2 linked regions of the Diceros bicornis minor genome follow. The protein of the gene in region 1 interacts with the protein of each later gene in a pairwise test. Links are inferred from orthologs where the notes say so. Each region holds a gene or a part of one and is shown on either strand. Other genes may lie near its edges.

The links.
Region 2: the proteins of CEP76 (region 1) and TTC21A interact in a two-hybrid assay, tested with the Homo sapiens proteins (2 studies listed by BioGRID). The two-hybrid records come from large-scale screens. The link is inferred for Diceros bicornis minor from reciprocal best matches to the Homo sapiens genes CEP76 and TTC21A.

The regions. Positions count from the first base shown.
Region 1 is NC_080755.1:10,841,328-10,848,722, forward strand, and holds the start of CEP76 (centrosomal protein of 76 kDa), read left to right. Parts: upstream 1-4,342; 5' UTR 4,343-4,553; coding exon 4,554-4,616; intron 4,617-5,653; coding exon 5,654-5,809; intron 5,810-6,861; coding exon 6,862-6,943; intron 6,944-7,395. UniProt on the Homo sapiens protein: Centrosomal protein involved in regulation of centriole duplication. Required to limit centriole duplication to once per cell cycle by preventing centriole reduplication.
Region 2 is NC_080741.1:41,867,581-41,874,505, reverse strand, and holds the start of TTC21A (tetratricopeptide repeat protein 21A), read right to left. Parts: upstream 3,019-6,925; 5' UTR 2,992-3,018; coding exon 2,965-2,991; intron 1,663-2,964; coding exon 1,533-1,662; intron 691-1,532; coding exon 580-690; intron 1-579. UniProt on the Homo sapiens protein: Intraflagellar transport (IFT)-associated protein required for spermatogenesis. Required for sperm flagellar formation and intraflagellar transport.

The sequences.
Region 1 (7,395 bases):
ACTACAAAACTACCTATGGAGTAGCAGTGAGGATTAAACTAATCAATACATGTAATTACACAAGATGGTCAGCTGATAGGAAATACTCAATAAATGATAGCTGTTATCAACAGTGAAAGAATGTAAATTCTAGTTCTACCATTTATAGTCCTTATCCTTTAAGAAATAGCTGAAATTCAGTCTTGTGTTAACAAAGCCATCTGTCCTGCAGGAATTTCAATATTAAGGTTATTTCTTGAAAGTATATTTCATTATCGCAACCTAATGACATGGTTAATAAAACTGACAAAAAATAAAACGCTTCTTCACTTGTCTTTAACTCCACCAATGGTTTTTCATGTTCCTCTATCACTTCTGGCTTTCACCTTAAAATGGTAAACAGAAGACAGAGAGGCCAACAGAGCAGTCAGCCATCGAATGAAGTGACTGATGCTCCTGGGCTTCAGGATCAACAGCTTTTCCCCTCACTCGGGGCAGTCCCACATCGTACACACAGTGGTCAGCGCAAAGGAAACTGTTCCCTGACTAACGAAGCTTGCTAGTCCAATGAGGAACTATGGAGATTTATGGTGTGGGAAAAGCATACACCTACTAGTAGTAGTAGGCAATTCAGTCTCTCTGAGCCTTACTGATACCATATTATTATGGATTCTATAAGAATGTGAGGGATGACTATGAGGCTTAGATGAGGCAGCACATATTAAACTCACAGGACTGAGCCCAGTGGAATTCTCTTTTCCCCTTTCCCTGGTATAGGTCATGCTTACATGTGCCAGTGGGAACAGAAAATAAAACTGAGGATAAAAGGGAAAAAAAACCCATGTTAAAAAATTGGAACTCTCAAATTCTACCCAAAGATACAAGTACAATCTCATCCCTCATAGGAGTTGCCATTTAGAAAAGGCTAAGAACTAAAACCAGGATGTAAGAGAATAGGACAATGTGACTGTATTGCAAATTCTGCACAAAACTGGCACTAAGTAATGTTTGCTACAAAACAGTATCTGTAGCCTCTATTTCTAATTTAAAACAACTCTACCTTGTAGTAGAATAAAACATGCAGAAGTCTTACATACCTTCAGCATTTGTACTGAGTTCTGTTGAATTTTCTTCTGCAGTTGCATACGGATTGTTTCCAACCATCGGCACAAGACAATCGGTATAGAAGTAACCAATCTTACACATACTCAGTGTAGAAATAATCACATCTACTGCAAGCTGGCCAACATTTCCAACAGACACAGCTGGCTGAAATAATAAAAATATGTTAAGTCATCAAAATTAGCAGCACTTTTAAAAGTTTAGACAGAAGACAGTAATCACAGCACTAGAACTGAACGCTTATGCTCAGGCACGTCACAGCTAGATACCCACTCTTTCATTAGCTGCAACTGAGGTGTCAGCAGGGCCTCCACCATCTTTGACACTATTGCTTTAACACTTACTGATGACCTATTATGTGTCAATCATTGCTCTAGGCACTGGGAATGCAGTAAAACAAATTGACAAAAGTTCCTGCCCTTGTGGAGTTTCCATTCTAGTGAGGGAGTGGTTTACTGTAAAAAACAAAATAAATAGTAAAATATACAGTGGTAAGTACTATGGAGAAAAATTAAGCGAGTGAGAGTGTGTGTTATGCGGTTGGTTGAAATTTTAAACAGAGTGATCAAGGAAAGACTCACTTCACGCGACAAGTAACTATGGACCTGCAAGAGGTGAGGGAGGGAGCCCCACAAAGACCAGGGAAAAGACTATTCCAGGCGGTGGGAAAGCAAGCGTAAAGGCTGTGAGGTATGAACAAAAGTGCTCTTGGGTCTTCTTTCCATTTGCTTTGTTAGTGCCTAAAGGTTGGAGTGAGCTTCTTTTCACACTAAACACACACACACACACATTTATCCCCATGACTTAAAGGTGAACTCCAGAGCCTAATGGGTATCTCCACATGGTTACGTCACAGGCAACTCACATTCAACATGTACAAAACCAAACTTTTATCCAAACTTCTTCCCATATTTTGTATTTTGTAATTCACCCAACTACCTAAACCAGGAACCTTCTTCCCTTTCCCTGACCACCCACATCTAATACACGACTAATTTTCCTTGACTCGCTCTTCACTGCATCTCTTTAATGTAGCGCCTCCTTTGCCTTCTTCCAGCAATTGCTTCTTTTTTGGCCTTCATCTTATTTTTCTGGGTCCCTGAGAGTGCTCTCTCACTTCTCACTGCTGTCACCTACTAATCCCCTGGTTCTCTCCTGTAATTCCCTTTCCTCTTCTCAAAGATTTTGCTGCTTTGGGTAGACCCTCACTCTCCTGTATCATCCATCTTTTCCTCACTATTGGATTCTTCCCGTCAGCATATACAAACGCTCTAATATCTTTCCTTCTAAAAAACTCTCCCTTGATCTCACATACCCCCTTAGCTACCACCTTACTTCTCAGTGTCCCTCCACAGCCAAAATTCCCCACAGCTGTCCACTAAAACATATGCAGGAGCTTTATCTCTGAATTAACGAGTGAATACGTACACATACACATCTCCACCTCTTCTCCCATTTATTCAACACAGTCCAGCGTGGCTTCCCTCTTCACCACTCCACTGATAACTGTCAACATTACCACCAATAATCTTTGAGACATTACTTTCGCTACGAAGCTTCCAGGTATCTCCCGCAAACATACTTTTTCCCTTTTGTGATTAATACATATGTTTCAGGGAGATACTTTGAAATGATGTAAAATTTTCTTCCTCAGTACTCTATTGCACATTATTTTTGGAATCATTGCTATTTCTTGTGTGCATTACTACAATGAAAATTGCCAAAAAGTGATTTTTCAATTACCATCACTTTTTTTTAAGTTGAGCTATAACTGACATATAACATTGTATCAGTTTTAAACACACAACACAACAATTTGATACACACATATACTGTGAAATGATTACCACAGTAAGTTTAGTTAACCTCCATCACCACACATAGTTACACATTTTTTTTTCTTGTAATGAGAACATTTAAGATCTACTCTCTTAGCAACTCTCAAGTATATAATACAGTACTGTTAACTATAGTCATCATGCTGTGCATTACATCCTCAGGACTTATTTGTAACTGGAGGTCCGTACCTTTTGATTACCTTCACCCATTTCACCCAACCACCCCCACCCACTCTGGCAACCACCAATCTGTTCTCTGTACCTACGAGTTTGTTGCTTCTTTTTTTTTTTTTTGAGATTCCACATATGAAGCTTTTCTTAACAGGTCCTTGTGACCCTCTTCCTCCCAATACATCTTAGGGCCTTTCTATATCCTTCTCAAATTTCTAGCTTAGCATTTATTGCCCTTATTGATTTACATGTGTTTCCAATTAGACTGCAAGCTTCTTGAGCACAAGGACCTAGTCTTATTCTAACATTTTCACATAACAGAATGTTTATTAAAACAATGAATGAATACGGGTAATTTTAAGAGCGATAAAACCGTGTGTTTACTAGCAAAACTTACTTTTATTACCCTATCTGTAGTTTTATGGTTAACGACGATGATTTGCTAGCTTAAGAATGACTCTAAAATTAGCTGAAAAAAGATTTCCTAGGATAAAACGTAAAGACAATGACCCGCACAACATATGTACAACGTATCTGTCACATCCAAACACATTACGTTCTACAGTCAACAAAGACTACAAACCGCAGACTTAGATACGTTTGGTGACAGCGCCAACAAAGGTTCTATTCGGACCGACGCCTCCAGCCACATCCTCCATATGTTTTCAGCGCAAGCTGAACACCTGGAAAAGAAACAAGTACTCCTCCAGGGCCGGGTGAAGCACCCCGAGTCGGGAAACAGGCGCCTCCGGAGGGGCAGCAGCCCCCAGCCGGGCAGTGGAGAGTTCGAGAAACCAGGGACTCACCATCAGGAGAGTGAAACCCGCGAAGTCGGGAACCGATTCTCCGCAGGGAACAAAATGGTGGTCCCGAAGTCGGAGGAACGGAGAAACCACGGGGGAGGAAAGAAAACGAAAACCGCAAATTCAGCACCGTGCCCCCGCGCGGAGTCCCCGGAGCCCCACGCGACGCGAGTGAGGCGGGGCGGGGCCAGGCGGGAGGGGCGGAGCCAGGCGGGCGGGGTCCTTCGAGTCCTTGGGCGCGGGGTCCTCAGGGGCCCGTCCACATACTTGCCGGTCCAGAGGACAGAATTGGACCCCGACAGGGTGAGAGTTGGGAGCGGGCGGCGCATCTGGAGACTCTGGCAAGGCAAGATGATGGGGTGCCCTGAGGTCGCGGGGTGAGGACCCCGAGGGAGGGGCAGCTGCGGGCGGAGATGATCAGGCAGAGCGAGGGACAGTCCCCAGGCTGGTTGTCCGCCCCCGTTTGAAAACAACAGTTGGGCACCTCCGCCGCCCAGCTCGCACTTGACGCGGCGTCGCGCCCCCGGGAGCTGCGGAGGCGAGCGGTGGCGCCGGCTTTGTGCTCAGCCACGACCAGCGCTCCGGGGCGGGTCGGGGCGCCTGAAGTGGGGAGAATTGGCGGCGAGGCGCCGGCTGCAGCATGTCCCTGCCCCCGGAGAAAGCCTCCGAGCTGAAGCAGCTCATCCACCAGCAGCTGAGCAAGGTGAGGGCAGCGGGCGCGCTCTTGCCCGCCGTGTGGCCTGAGCGCCCGGCCTGGCGTCCCTTGGCCCGGCCGACGGCGGCACCTGTTTGCCGGGGACTCGAGCAAAGGCTGAGACGCGGAGCGCGGGATGCGCAGAGCGTCGGGTTTGACGCCAGAGGAACTTTCTAGTCTCGGTGAAAGAGCGAGCCCAGAAAGTGCCAGTAAGAGTCTGAGGTGATGGAGCGGTGTTAGTGTCGTAGGACAGTGTGGAAATGAAGCGTTTATCGGGGATTTCTGGAAGTCAGGTCGAGTATAAGTTGTGTTTGGAGCAGGTTTATATTCAGAGGTGGGAATTAGAATTACTTTAAGGGTGAACCTTGCCGTGTCGTTGAAGTTGAAACAAATCAGCAGTTCTTAAGTCATGAAAGAGACGTTACTAAAGGATTTGTAATGAAAGTATTTGTGACCCTTCGGGGCTCAGGAAGAACGTTGTCTTGGAGGCGCTCAGCTGAATGCAGTAAGCTGCTGTACCACGAACTCCGTGTATTGTGCGCTTGTTTGCCGACTTTTGTGTACGCCTCACAGTCTTGACAGGGCACTGTTATTTCCCGATCCATAAAGGGTAAACAGGTTAACTGGAGGTCACATCTAGTAAGTTGAAAGCTGAAATTCATACTTTGATTGTCTTCTCCAGGTTTGTGTTATTTTGATTATACAGTATTCTCTCTCCAAAGATTTGTTTTGGTTGAGTGTTATTTGTGGGGAAATGGTAACGAGGGTAGTAGATAATCAGAGATTATTTCTAGAATTTGTACTAAAAAAAATTCATCTTTAAAAAATTTTTTCTTTGGTTTTTCCTTTAAAAGATTTTACCTTTATTCTCATTGAATTCTGGTAACAATTTTACATTTACTATTAGCTTAAGAAGCTTTCCTGAATTTAGTCTGTGTACTCTCCCATTTTTTTCTTTGAGTCAGTATTTTAGAAAGAAATTACCTAATTGGCAATATTTGATTGCTTTGTAATGTTGTAAATTGTAATGCGAGTTTTCTGCATAGATGGATGTCCATGGCAGAATAAGAGAAATCCTTGCTGAGACAATACGTGAAGAATTGGCACCTGATCAACAACAGTTATCAACAGATGATTTGATTAAAGCCCTTAGACGTCGGGGAATCATTGATGATGTGATGAAAGAACTTAATTTTGTTACTGTGAGTGAGCTTTTAGGGGAAAAAATTTGATAGTATAAGTGTATTCTCATGCTTAATGCTGGTTATAGGGTCTATATTTGGGGCCTCTCCTGTTAGTAAAACCACTTTAGAATAAGACCATTTTGTCTAGTAATATCTTTGAAGTATAAGCTAATTCTACCCTTGAATGTAGCAAGTAGGATTATGTATCAATGAAATTGGGGTTATGTACCATTTTCCTTTCTTTACAGTGACAGAATTTTCTCTTGTTATTCTCTAGGTCTATAACTTTAAGTATATATATTTTAGTCAAATTAGTTAGCCATAACCTAGTTCTTTTTCACTAGTATTGTTCTATAATTTTTTAGATTAAGCTTATTTTAAAAATAAATACACTCTTTTGGAACTATATTCTCTGTGATTAACAAATTATCAGTTTCTCTAAGAAAATAATTGTGTAAGAACCTTCAAATCTTTTCACACAAATAGGTCAGTAGTGAGATGGTAGCCTCTCAGTGCACAAATTAGTAAGTAGGCCTTCTTTTGAAAATGAGGCAATAATTAGAAACTGTGACCTCAATACCTGGGTAATATAATGTAAAAATTGGATGGACTTCATAATACGCCAGGGAATAAGTATTTTAATACAGCATCCTTTTTTGGTTTGTGACGTTTATAAACCCATTTGTTAAAAAATTGACCTAGTAACAGCTTCTGCTGTGTGAACGTCACTTCCTTATTAAAATCAATTCATGGTGGAATCATAAGCCAAATGTTATATGAGGTTAGAGAAAGTTTAACTTCGTTTAAGGTATTAAGGATTTGTTTTTAGCATTCCATGGACATTGCTGGAAGTCAACTTAATTCCTTAATATTAGACTTTGGGAGTGACCGGCTGCATCATCTTTTTTGCAGGCTTTTCGTTATTTTAATAATACTAGGAAAATAAAGGGTTTTTTGAGGGGCTTTAGCTTATCTACTTGTGGTTCAGTTCTAAGTCCCATTATTAGCATTTCCTTGTTTAACTATAATTTTTGTTTTTAACTTGTTTTGATTTTTTTCTGCTTTTTTAGGACAGTGTTGATCAAGAACTCCCTTCTTCTCCAAAACAACCTGTTTGTTTTACTGATAAACAGTCAACGTTGTTAAAAAAAAGTATGTGTATTTCTTGTTAACATTAATTTAGTTGTGGATAGTACTGTGGATAGATGTGGTGTAGTGTTTGGTATTTGATAGAAAGCATTTCAATTTTTTTCCCCAGAATGAAATACTTACATTTTTGTGACTAATCATCAAAATGTTTATTTGCATGAAGTATATCAGAAGATTTAATATATAGCAGAGTGGAAGCAAAAATAGGACCAGCTGTTTCTCGTGTTTTAATAATATATTTTATAAAAAGTATATGGCCTTGCTTTTTTAGTGGTAATATAATTGTCTAAGGACTATACTTGCTGAGTTGATAATTGTCTGAGTTGGTTTGTGGAGGTGAAGGAATGTTGGATAAGCAACTAAAAAGCAAAGGTATCCTAAACTTTTGCTCTGACTCCTTTCTAGCTGAGAGAAAGTAGCCAGAATGTAAACTCAGAAAAAGAGATCATATTATG
Region 2 (6,925 bases), on another chromosome or scaffold:
GCTGACTACATGCCAGCCTGGGGCCTGGAAACCAGCAACATCGGCCCCTGTGATGCCACAGAGACTGCCCAGGCCTGGACTTGGGTTTGCTTTCTGGGATTTATCTTTTCTCCTCTGTGCCCTGCAGTTTGCTGAGCAGACAGACTACGCTTAAATCTCCCACCCCAGGCCCACAATCCACTCTGGGTGGGAGGAAATAGTAGTTGTAGTCTCTTGGAATCTCTCCCTGACTCTTGAGAGGTGGAGATTAGGGACAGAGTTACTTATATCAGCTTGATTTTTCTCAAGAAGGTCTTGGCAGAGAAAAGCAGGGTGTCTCTCCAACTCTTGGGATCTGGAGGGAGGACTCCTCCCACTGTCATGCTCTCTGCCTGTGGCTCCCACTTGCTTGCGCCTGGGTATGGGGTCTTCTTTGAGGCCTCCCGCGGGAGGGCAGCAGCAGCCACTCCTCGCTGGCCAACAGCATCTGCAGTCACCAGCGCACACACTTCCTTCGGCAGCCCTTGAGGGGCTGTGTGTCTGGAGCAGAGCTCTCTTTCCCCAGCAGGTTCAGGCCTAGCTGAGCATGGGTGTACTCACCGATGGTTTCACAGCGCTTGTGAGCATAAATGAGGGCCATGATGGAGCACAGGGACACGTCTGGGTGATTCCGGATGCTCTCCAGGTTGTTGATGGCATCCTGGAGGCGCTCTGCAAAGAAAGCCCATGTGGTTATATTCTTGGGCACCAGGCCCAGAGGACAGGAAGCTCCAAGGCAGACACATGGGAGCCCTTATCAGGGCTGACCCAAGGCTTGTCACCACCTGGTTTCACCCAGAACCAGAGGACTAACTGGTGCAAAAGGTCCCCAATGGCCCAAGTTCCCGGAAGACAAGCTCTCTGAGAGGGCTGCTGGCACCAGAGCCCAGGCTGCCGGGGGCTGGAGAGCTTGGAGCTGAGAGATGTACCTGTGAGTATTCGCAGGGATACCTGTGAGGCCGGGAGTTTTGGCTGGGGGTCAGTTCTGAAGAGGGACCTCAGGGCATTCTCAGCTAGCTGCTCAAGAGCCACCGATTACATTTATCCCTCCACATCCACTGACGTTGCCTATGGAACACTCAGCCGGCCCCCAGCCCAGGACCACTTTCTGAGTGTCAGCAAGTCAGCACGTGCGTGGGCCCCAGTCCTCTCTCTGCTCCTGTATCATACCCGCCTGTACCCACACCTACCGCTTCCTCCTTTTCCTGCACTATTGGCTTGCAACTTCTGAGCCTGGGATTAGTTCAATAATCGTGCAATCAGCTCTCCACACACTCATTTTACAGATAGGGAAACTGAGGTGCAGAGCAGGAGTAGTGAACTCTCTGAGGTCTCAAAAGTCAACTAGATGTGAATTACACAGGCTTCTGTGAATTAACCTGGGAATCCAGTTACTGAGTGTAAGACTGTTTCCACGGAAACATGACTGGGGTATAAGCAGGCAACCAGGTGGAGCCAGAGTGTTAGTGGGGGTGGTGCCTGGGGTCACGAGGCCAATACTGGTGAGTCCTTACCTTCCCTGAGGACTCCATAGGCTTTAAAGAACTGCAGCACGGGGTCATTGCTGAATTTCTCCAGGCCCATGGCCGCAGCCTGCTGCACATGGCGGAAGTACTTTTCCTGGCTGTAGTAAATGATCCCAGCCTGCAGGGAGGAAGACACAGTTGCAATAACCCCAGTCCCTTCTGTGTCTCTGTTCTGACGCACTCCCTCCCCTATTGCCCGCTCTTCCTCAAATCTGCAAAGGGAAGAGGAAGAGAACATTTAGGCCGCATCCTGCCCTTGACCAGCCCCAGCAGTAGCTCCATGCCGTTTCCCCGGGAAGGAGTTTGGAGGTGTTTGTTTTGGAATTATCCACAGATTCTGGTTCAAATGTGATGGAGACTTCAACTCAAGCTTTGCCTTAGGAAGGGAATAAGGGGAGAGAGAGAGGACCGATAATAATAATAATTACACCAATAGTTAGAGTTACAAGATACTGTGGGCTAACCACCTCTTGGGAACTGTATCAAGGGCTTTACATCCATTATCTTATGCATCATCCTCTCTATATCCTTCACAGTTAAGGAAGCTGAAGCCCATGGATACCATGGCTTGACAAAGGTCACGTGTAATAGAGGGTGAGATTTCAAAGCAAAGTGTCACTTCCCCTAAGGTTTGTGGGTGCTGGGGTTGGGGATAGCCGTGGTTGGATTGTAAACGGCTTTGTGGGCTATATGAAAGGGCCCAGACATCATCCTGAGGGTAATAGGAAGCAGTTGGAATGGTTTTAAGCAGGGGGAGGGATGTGTTCAGATGTGTGTTTTTGCAAAAACCACTCTGGCTGCTGAGTGCGTCTGTGTGTGTGTGGTGGTGGTGGTGGTAGTGGCAGTAGGGGGAACTGCTGGTAAAGAGGGCTGAAGCAGAGAAACCAGTCTGGAGGGGGACTGTTGCAGGTGCCCAGGGGAGAGATGGGGTGATCCTGGTCTAGGAGATAATCAGGAGACACTTAGGAGCTGACATTTCTTGCTGATAGATAGGACCAGGAGTTGGGCATGGGGAAGAGTTAAGACTGGGGACCAAACGGCGGTACCATCTACCGAGTTGGGGGACACAGAAGATTCACAAGCAAGGGAGGGGGAGACGATGGCAAGATGACAAAGATGGGTTTTGGATGGAAATGGGTTTTGGATGCGTTGGTTTGGGGGAGCTCGCGGACAGGGCTGGGTGGGGATGCTGATTTGGGGCTCAGGGCGCACTGAGAGCACCAGAGAGGATGCACTCTCCAGGGAGAGCGAGGCGAGAAGAGGCCAGGACCGCCTGCAGCGGCCGGGGACGGCGGAAGGCAGGTAAAGCGGACAGCAGGAGCGGTCAGAGAGGTGGCAGGAGAGAAGCAGGGTCGGGGGTCACCGGGCCAGGGGCGGAGGATCCCGCAGGGAGCGGGCGGGCAGCGCCCGGGCCACGCACCATAAGGGCGGAGTCATCGCCGCTCATCTCCGGGAGCTTGTGGCTCCGAGTCCGGGTCTGGTGGTGCCGCGCGAAGCCAGATGCCCCTTCAGAGTCCTGGGCACGCCTCTCGTGGCCGGAAGCGGGAGGCGCGCGCGTCCTTGGAAACGGTGTTGCCGGCCAGTTGCTAAGGGCGTCAGAGTCAGGGGTGGGAGCAGCCAGGCGCCCACGTGACCAGGCGCTGGTAATCGAGCGCCGAGAGGGCGAGCTCGCGCTGGTGGCGCCAGGTCGGGCAGCGGGTTACGGGACTGGGGCGCCGCATCCGGGCCGCTGCCATGGGCCTGGGCGCCAGCGCCGAGCAGCCCGCGGGCGGCGCCGAGGGCTTCCACCTGCACGGGGTGAGTTGCCCCGCGGCGCCGGTCACTGGCGGGGCGCCCTCACCGGGACTCCTGGTCGCCGGCCTGAGGGCGGCAGCGGCGGGGTCCCGGCCCTAGTGCAGCCGCCCGGGGGGGAGGGGGGCGCCCTTTGCCGGTGGGAGCCGCCTGCGAGAGGCGGCCCTGCGGCGCCCCTGGCCCCCAGCCCGTCTGCGGTCGCGGTCGGCCCAGTGCCCGCCCCAAGTGCCAGCTGTGCAGGAAGCGGGAGCGTTTCCTCGTCAGGTTGGGCCAGGCCGTCCCGGAATGGCACTTTTCTCTGGTGAAAATTGCACCAGGTCCAGTTGGGACGCATTTGTGCACTTAGGTCACATTTATGATTGCCTGCTGCGTGCTGCGCTCCGTGCTGGGCCCGGAGAGAGAGCCAGCAACGCCGAAACCTCGGCAGTCCCCGCCCTTGGATCCAGGGGGTCAGGGTAACCAAGTGGGCGCCAGCTGCGGGGGAACCGGCCGGCGCGCATCCCGCCTCTCGTGGTTTCGGAGAAGCTTCGGGGGATCGAGGACCAGTGCGAACCAGCCGGGGAAAGTGGGAAGCGGGAGAACCAGGAGAATGCTGCAGAAGGCACGGGGAGAGCGTTTGCAGCAGGGGGCGGTACCCAGGGCGAAACATTGCAGATAGGAGCCGGAAGGCCGGGGCTGAGAACGTCCTCTCGGTGTTGCTACAAGGAGGTCTGGACAAGCAGTCCTGGGGAAGTGGAGACGGAGTTGGGTTGCTAGAATGTGAGGTGACGAGAGGGGCCCGCAGCCAGGTGGAGAGTTGGGATCGAGACTTGTACGGCAGAGTGGGAGGGGCTGTAACCGAGGTGAGAGATAGGAGGGCCTTTGACCCCGGAGCGCAGCGACGAAGGGCCCCCTTTTTCCTGGCGCACAGTGGACGGATGCAGGGGTGGGTGTGGGCAGGCAAGCTTGTCAGTTTGGTGCCTGGCTCTTGAGTGGTCTCTGTATTGTGCTGGCAGGATCTGTTATCGGCTCCCAGGGGGGAGGGCTAAAGAAGGGGTTTCCTGAAAGGAAAGCAACTCGGAGTTGGCAGGGTTTGTGCTCAGTGATGAGCTTTCTCTAGTGGACATCATGGTGAGGCATCAGACGGTAAAGGTGGACGGTGGAATGCATCCAGCCCAGAGAGTCTTCCAACAGGTTTGATGGAAGGCAAAGGAATTGAGGATATTGGCAGGAGAGAGGGGTGGGGCAGTGGTGGGAGTGAAGATAGGAAGGGCCTATTGGAGAGGGACAGAGTGGAGAGGGATTGTAGATCTTCATTCACAAAAACAGGTATTTGTGAGCACATACTTTGTGGCAAGCAGGGAGAGAAGGGAGAGAGACAAGAAAGAGAAATATATGGTGGGTGGTGATCATTGCTAGGGAGAAAAATAAAGCAAGGTAAAGGGATACAGAGTGATGAGTGTGTGCTATTTTGCATAGAGGGGTCAGGAAAGGCTCTGATCAAGGAACACTAGAACAGACACCTTGGAAGGAAGGAAGGAGTGGACAGTACAGATATTTGGGCAGAGCGGGTCCCTGAGGTGGGGTGGTGCTTGTTGTGTTTGAAGAGAAGGAAGGAGGGGAGGCTGGTATGCTTGGATGGGCTGGTCAGTGGAAGGAGAGTGGTAACAACTGAGCCTAGATTGTGTGGGGCCTTGCATGTTGTCCTGAGGATCTAGGATTTTATTCCGAGATGTGGAGCCATTGGGAGGTTTTAAGTGGAAGTGTGACATTACCTACTTACATTTTTAAAAACTAAAGAACAAGTGTGCTGCCTTCTATAAATATTGGGGTTTCCACTGTGTGCCAGGGACATGGGAGAAGTTCCTGCCCTCAGCAAGCTTAGAGCAGTGGAGGATTTCCCAGGAAATGGCTGTTCCAGGGCAGTGGTTGGGAGCGGGCTCTGGGTTGGATTACTGAATAACTGAGTGTTTTTCCCTCATCTGTAAGTTAGGCTTAGTAAAAGGGTTAAATGATAGGTAAAGCAGATGGTGCAGTCCCCTGGCACTCAGCCAACCCTCAGGAAGTATAAACCTCTGTCACTGTTAATTACATTAGGTTCCCTGGTGGGGAATAGAGCAGGGAGTGTTTTGAGAGCAGCATGCATTGTGGGGCTGCAGGGTCGGGTGTGATGGGAGCCCCCAGGAGAGCTGGACAGAGAGTGGTGCTTGTTGAGGGAGTAGGGGTGTGGTAGGCAGCAAGGATTATTTCCGCTGTGGAGCCATAGTGGACGATGACAAGGCCCAGGACAAGGGCAGTGCAGTACAGCCAGACAGAGGACAAGCCACGGGAGAGGGCGGATAGAGGCGCTGAATGGGCTGGGAGAGGGCCAGGCCTGGGGCTTGGGGGCCTGAGCCTCTGGACCTCATTAATGATGGAGGGCAGCTGCCTCATAATGTTGAGGAGGGTAGCGGGCAGATAGCTGGGCGGCACCAGCCCCAGGAGCAGGGGCCTCACCTGAGGGAGGTGGAGTGGCCTAGAAATGGCCCTGAGCAGGGAGGAGCACCTCCCACAAGCTATCCCTGATTAACTGTCCTATGATTTTCAAAAGCTGCCTTGTCCCAGCTGTCTGCTGAAGGGACAAGGTGCAGGCTCAGAGCACTTGCCCTCTGGGCCAGGCCATCTAGAGCTGGACTTGGTTTCTGGGTTCACTCTCATTGGAAGCCATGGCAGCTTCTGCAAGTGGCAACAGGGACTCAATTGGTCACACTCCCGGGAGGGAATCCTAATTCCAGAGGCAAATTGGCCTTGTTGCAAAGGCTCAGTGGTGAGCTCTCCTTCAGCTTAAAGACTCCAGGACTGGAGGGGCTGGTGGGTGGCGGAAGCCACAGGGCCTTCTCCTTGTGGGTGCCATCCAGAACCTGAGGCCGCATGAGCCCTGTGCCCTCTGGGCTGGGGCCTGACCAGCAGGACATCAAGTGCTCACACCAAAGGCCTCAGGGTGTGGGGCCCAGCGTCAGGGTCGTGGGCTTGGGAATAAAGGCGGCCTTGTCTGGGCGAGGCTCTGTAAATGGGGCCTGTGAAATGGATTTCTGCCACCGCCGGCAGCCTGCTGTTGTGCTTTTGGAGATGGCAGTGAGCTGGGGAGCTCAGGGCAGGGCAGGGCTGGGAATGGCTCCTGGAGGAGATGTCCTGCATGGGAGGAGAGGCGGGAACGTGAGGCAGGATTGGGCACTGCTCACAGGCTCCTTGGCTCGGGCTCATTCCTGTCCCTGGGGTCTGCTCCCCTCAGCCACCCACTCCTCAGCAGTCCCACCGCCTGCTGGACTGAGTTTGGATCTGTCACCACAGGCTTGGGGGGCCCTCTGGGATCTGCTACAGGCTGCCTTCCCCACTCTGTCTTTCTGGGCACAGCCCTGGTTCCATCTATCCTGGGGACCTCCCTTCCTGTCCACATCGAAACCTTTCTGGTAAACCCTCCAGCTTTCCAGAGGCCCCAGCCCAGCCCTCTGGGGCAGCATCCCCACAGGCCTGCACCACCCTGTCTCCATATGGCCTACTGGTAGCCCCCAGGCTGCCCTGGGCTCTCTTAGGAGGCATTTCTGGAAGCATAATCAATGGATCATGATCAG